2 linked regions of the Coturnix japonica genome follow. The main gene of each other region encodes a partner of the protein of the gene in region 2 in a complex. Links are inferred from orthologs where the notes say so. Each region holds a gene or a part of one and is shown on either strand. Other genes may lie near its edges.

Region 1 (2,454 bases), on a different chromosome or scaffold from region 2:
CTCAGCTCGTGGTCCGTATTGGGTTGTCCTGTCCTAAAGCAAAGTCAACAGCAGTTGCCTGCTCTCAGGTTTTGGCTGGGTGGCTCATTGCTACCTTAAAACAGCTGGCATTGCTCTGTAGGGTCCTTTCTTCTGTTTTTAGTGGCTCTGAGGTATGCAATATAGTTAATCTAATAGTTTCTCTCTCTTGGCTGTGGGTGGTGGAGGCCAGCATTGTTAGCTCAGATTTCAGCAGTGAAAACAAGTCCCAGTGTCAGCAGTGGGACGTAGGCAGCAGTGCCCATAAAATGGCACAGGAGCTGAGCTTCTGATCCACTGTATTAAGGAGATCTCAGTCTGAAGTGTCAACATTAGAAATGGAGAGCAGCCATGCCTTTCTCTTCTGTGTGGAAGCAGCTTTGGAAGCAAGATTTGTTTGTGCAGTGGCAGAGAGCTGCTACTTTATTTCTTGACAGGAGACTTCCCAAAAGCCTGCAAAGGAGACGTAGATCTTCGAGCAAGTCCTGGCGGCTGGAGCTTCCCGATAGCAGGTGATGCCACATAAGAGTTCTGTGTTGGTTGTCACATTTGAGCCTTTCTCTCCCGATTGCATGTTTGCAACGTGCAGGCTTGAGCTCATCAACTCAACTCTTTTGGGGGTTTTGTCTGTTTTCTAGGTAAAATAATTAGACCACCATGAGTTGGAGCTTTCTGACCCGTCTCTTAGAGGAGATCCACAACCACTCCACCTTCGTTGGTAAAATCTGGCTGTCGGTGCTGATCGTGTTTCGGATCGTCCTGACTGCTGTGGGAGGCGAATCCATTTATTATGATGAGCAAAGCAAGTTTGTGTGCAACACGGAGCAGCCTGGCTGTGAGAACGTTTGTTACGACGCTTTTGCTCCTCTTTCTCACGTGAGATTTTGGGTGTTCCAGATCATTCTCGTTGCCACTCCATCCGTCATGTATTTGGGCTACGCCATCCATAAGATTGCCCGGATGGTGGAGCACAGTGACATTGACAGAAGGTTCAGAAGCAAAAGCTTTTCAATGCGCTGGAAACAACACCGCGGCTTGGAGGAGGCTGAGGATGACCACGAGGAGGACCCGATGATGTACCCAGAAATAGAGCTGGAAAGCGAACGGGAGAACAAGGAGCAGCAGCCCCCTGCTAAAGCCAAGCACGACGGGCGGCGGCGAATCCGTGAAGATGGACTGATGAGGATCTACGTGCTGCAGCTGCTGGTGAGGGCGATGTTTGAGATTGGCTTTCTGATCGGTCAGTACCTTCTGTATGGTTTTGAGGTCAGCCCCGTGTTTGTGTGCAGCAGGAAGCCCTGCCCCCATAAGATAGACTGCTTCATTTCGAGGCCGACCGAAAAGACCATTTTCCTGCTCATAATGTACGGGGTGAGCTGTATGTGTTTGCTTTTGAATGTGTGGGAGATGCTCCATTTAGGGTTTGGCACGATCCGGGACACGTTAAACAACAAGAGGAAAGAGCTGGAGGACTCTGGTACCTACAACTACCCCTTTACTTGGAACACGCCCTCTGCTCCTCCTGGCTATAACATTGCAGTCAAACCCGATCAAATGCAATACACAGAACTGTCCAACGCCAAGATGGCCTACAAGCAGAACAAAGCCAACATTGCTCAGGAGCAGCAGTACGGCAGCAACGAGGAGAACATCCCTGCCGACCTGGAAAACCTGCAGAGGGAAATCAAAGTGGCTCAGGAACGCCTGGACTTGGCGATCCAGGCATACAACAACCAAAACAACCCCAGCAGCAGTTCCAGAGAGAAGAAATCCAAAGCAGGCTCCAACAAAAGCAGTGCCAGCAGCAAATCAGGGGACGGGAAGAACTCTGTCTGGATTTAACCTTGGCTGAGTTTATATGTTGTCTTTTTTTCTCACAACCAGCAACCCGTTGAGTAATGGCTTCCATTAAGTAAATATTTGGTTCTGCTTATTTTCAGGGATACTGTTGGCTAGCGATTCCAGCTCTAAGAAAGTGTTTATATGCATACTGTAGGACTGTACAACTTTATTCTTCTGCCTTCCAAGCCAGGAGACAAATAGGTATATTTAAATCATTCTCATTGAACGGTTTACTCTGTATGTACAGTACTATCGTACACTTATTATGCACAATTTTTTGTATTTGTACACTGGATCTCCGAAGTTACCCTTTTTTTTATACGAAAGGAGGAACCTGTAGGTAGCTGTTAGCATTTTGCTGGTTTTATTACTGTGGTTCGTCAACGTTTTCTGTTTGTTTTCAGTGTCAGAACTTTCTATGCTGCATTTGAGAAGTGCCTTGAACACACAGCACCGGGGAGCCCGGTTATCCACTCCCTTAGAGCAGGGGGAGGTTCAGAAAACACCCGCTGATGGTGCTCTTGACTGTACCTTTTTACAGAACTGATGTGCTACTTACAAGTGGAAGTGTCACGCTATAGCTGTTACAGGCTA
Region 2 (3,658 bases):
AATCGAGTTTTCCTTTCTTCTGTCTTAGAAAGTTTAAGAATGAACTACACAGGCCACATTCAGATTTCCAAAGCTTTATCTAGCTTTGAGTCTCGCATTCACAAGAAAGAGCTATGTTACAGCTGTTTCTTTTTCCTGTGGATGTACAAGAGTTGAAACCAAATCACGGACTAGCAATCCAACATCAGTTTGTTTCCCATTTTAACAGGCACTTTTTCCCCAACCAGCTGAACAGGTTCTACAGACCGATGTCCATCAGACCCAGCAAGTTATACAGATGTGTAATTAAAAATTGTAGTTTTCAAACAACAGCATAAATACTTTAATACCGTACCTGTTTTTGTTAGGTATGATACCTCTTTCAACTTCCTTATGATTCTTGCCAATTCGAATTGCCAGCCATGAACCCAGTTTGCCATTATATAGGGTGTCCACAACCCGAAACACTTCACCTTTGTTGAAGCTTAGTCCATAAGGAGATTCTTTTTCATATTCAAAATGAGTTCTGATATAGAAAGAATCCCCTACATCAGACTCAACAATGCGACGATAAACTAAAAGAAGAAAAAAGTTGCTGTTATACTTGTCCCAGTAAATTGCAGTCATAGTGCTCCTGAAAAGTGTTGGGAGCGCAGTGTTTCATTTTAATTCTCCTTGTTTTAAATATTACTTCAGAAAACCTTAATGACTCACAGCTTCTGTTTTAAGCTGTGCAACTATTACAAAGAACTCTACAAACATAAATTCAACTTATGCTGTCAAAAATTTGTTAGTATAAACTGAATCCACTTCCTCAGGAAGGAATGAGTCTCACTGGGAAAGAAAGATTTTCAACAGAACAGCAAAAACCAGACTTCTTTTCCTGCCCCCTCATCCCATCCCCCAAAAATTTCATTAAATGCTGTTTTTTAAAAAAATAGAACTGTTGTAGTTTGCTTTGGGGTTGGTCTTTTATTGTGTTTTCTTGTTTTTTGGGTTTTTTTTTCCTTATTTAAGGAAAAAAATTACTACAGTATCAACCTTTAGCCCATTCTAAACCCAAAAGAACTTTGAATAGCCTTTTAAAGATGCTAATCTCCTTCTAGCCAACAATTATCCTTTCTTAACTGTATTTTTTAAAATCTGTTTCCAATCAGCCCATTACACTGCTTCAGATACACAAATACTTACCATCTTTCTTCTTCTGTGCCAAAATGGTTACTTCTTCGCCTTTAGGGAGATCAAGTAAAAAAAGGACAGCTTCTTCTCTGATGATATTTGTGAAGTCTACGTTATTAACCTAGCATCAATGAAGTAATCAGTTTGATTTAGCATACATCATTTAATAGACACACAGCTACATAACAGGTAAACTGAATTAGTTTATTGCTGAGATTGTTTACTCAGCTTAATATATAAGAACACCAAGGACATGGATCTCAGGAAGATACAGCTCTAAAAGAATACTACTGTTTGAGATAAGCATAACCTCTGGAACATTAGACAGCTGCTCATTTTGACTTCTTTAGATTAATATTACAGAACATCTATGAACATCAGTAATATTAAACTGTAATATACAGAAGCCTACTTGAGAATCCAGTGGGGCCCAACAGTTAGAGGCATTTTCTTTGAACTGAATTTAGTCTCAGAAATTGAACATAAGTCTTACAAACTTTTCTAGCAACAGTAAAAGGAAATTCTGTTGCCAAGTCATGTAATAAACATGCACTAAAGAAACAAAATCCACTTTGGTATGACAGAACACTTGTGCTATTATATTCAACATACCCTGAGAATTTGGTCTCCTTCCTCTAATCCTTCTTTCGCCGCAGGGCTGTCCTCCAAAACACCAGCTACAAATATGCCAACATCATTGCCACCAGCGAGCCGCAGGCCCACACTATCCCCTTTTCTGAATTTTACCAGTTTCATGCTTGGCCTAGAAAATAAGAAGATATTCCACTTTGAATTGCGTATATACATGTGTGTATATAGAGATATACCTATATATCTATCTCTGTGCACATGTGTGTAAATATACATAAAGTGTTTGAGTAATTCAGACTGATGACATGCATATAATTTGCCTACTGCTTCAACTAGAGGAGATATTATACTACGATTACCATTGATTGCTTATCAACTATACCATTATACAACAGACTCATCTGCAGCACTTAAAAATAACAAAAAAAACAACTTACTTTACTAGTACAGCAAAGTTTGTCTTACATTAATATAGTGTTTTAAGAAGCATTTTGACACTCTCTTCCCAAAGCATTCTGCCCTTTGGAAGAGCTGTGCTAGTACAGAGATTTATTCTGGCTCTTCAGGGAATAAGATGAACTTTTGAGATTACCTCAGCTAGAATATACTCTCACTGATGCTCATAAAGGAGATTCAGTTGAATTAGACTCATTTGCATACCATGACTGTATATTTCTGTAATTATTTTAATTGGTCTTCAATAATTACAAAAGGAAAAGATTTTTCTGAAATTTTTACTCTACTATTTCCAAATAGAGGCACCCGAACAGCATGCTGGACTTCACATCAGACCATTTATAAATGTTATTCATTAACTTAGAAGAAACATTGCTCAAGACCAAGGCAACAGGACTCAAATAGAATTTAGAGTTATGTTACCGAAGCATTCCATCTTCATGGGTTGAGTTGGGTAAAGGACCATCAGATGGACTGACTGGTAAATCCACATCTGGCTGACCTCCTTGTGCATATACTGGCTTTGGTTCTATTAAAATACAGAAGACACTGAATATCCGTTTGGGCATTTACAGATAAGAAAATAAAGCTTAATTTCAGAGCTTCTTCAGTAGTTTTTCTCTACCCACCAACCCTCTTTATGCTAGAAACTGAACATTAGAAATTTACAACAAGAAACCTTGTCATTCAAAGCAGAGCTTCATCAACATGTAGAACTGCAAGAACTAAAAGGTTTTATGCTCTCTCAAGACCATTTTCAGCCTTGCTCTTTCCTTTAAGTTAGGCACACTTAGATGCATCTAACATAACTTCCCACATTTAAGAGTGCCGTGTCCAGTCTTGGGTGTCTCAGCTCAAAAAAGACAGGGATCTCTCAAAATGAGTCCAGCAGGGAGCCACAAAGATGATGAAGGACTCGAAGCATCTCCTATTTGAGGAAAGGCTGAGTAACCTGGGTCTGTTCAGCCTGTGGAAAAGACAACTGAAGGGGGATCCAATAAATGTTTATATCTAAAGGCAGATGAGAGGCAAATGAGTGAGGCCAGTCTCTTCTCGGTGATGCATAGTGATACAAAAAGGAGAAGTTCTGTATAAACATGTGGAAGACCTTTTTCACTGTAAGGGCACTGGCACAGGTTACCCAGAGGGGTTTGTAGAATCTCCTTCTAGGGAGATTGTCAAGACCTGTCTGGAGACCTGCCTCTGTGACCTACTGTAGGGTACCTGCTTTAGCAGGGGGGTTGGACTCTTAGTGCCCCTTCCAGACCCTGCAATTCTGAGACTTCCCCCATTAAAGAACCCCTTGATTTATGCAACAAAAGTACTTCAAACACTAGAACTATTGCTGCACAGCTTGAGGATGGCAAATTTCACTGTATACTATGGTGCAGTTGGCTCTTAAAGATAAATACTTATGACTCTGCTGCACGGATTCTCTAGTTACTGAGAGGAA

What was found.
Region 1: the proteins of TJP1 (region 2) and GJC1 are in contact, whole or in part, in a crystal structure (PDB 3SHW), measured with the Homo sapiens proteins. The link is inferred for Coturnix japonica from reciprocal best matches to the Homo sapiens genes TJP1 and GJC1. Residues at the interface, in NP_003248.3 of Homo sapiens: Lys429, Ser432, Val433, Gly434, Leu435, Arg436, Leu437, Gly449, Val450, Leu451, Val484, Leu487, Leu488, Leu549, Asn551, Gly552, Lys553; in NP_001073852.1 of Homo sapiens: Lys391, Thr392, Ser393, Val394, Trp395, Ile396.

What each region holds. Positions count from the first base shown.
Region 1 is NC_029542.1:749,345-751,798, reverse strand, and holds part of GJC1 (gap junction gamma-1 protein), read left to right. Parts: intron 1-455; exon of another isoform or gene 456-530; intron 531-656; 5' UTR 657-675; coding exon 676-1,860; 3' UTR 1,861-2,454. UniProt on the Homo sapiens protein: One gap junction consists of a cluster of closely packed pairs of transmembrane channels, the connexons, through which materials of low MW diffuse from one cell to a neighboring cell.
Region 2 is NC_029525.1:5,085,590-5,089,247, forward strand, and holds part of TJP1 (tight junction protein ZO-1), read right to left. Parts: intron 2,735-3,658; coding exon 2,629-2,734; intron 1,922-2,628; coding exon 1,771-1,921; intron 1,280-1,770; coding exon 1,171-1,279; intron 555-1,170; coding exon 335-554; intron 1-334. UniProt on the Homo sapiens protein: TJP1, TJP2, and TJP3 are closely related scaffolding proteins that link tight junction (TJ) transmembrane proteins such as claudins, junctional adhesion molecules, and occludin to the actin cytoskeleton.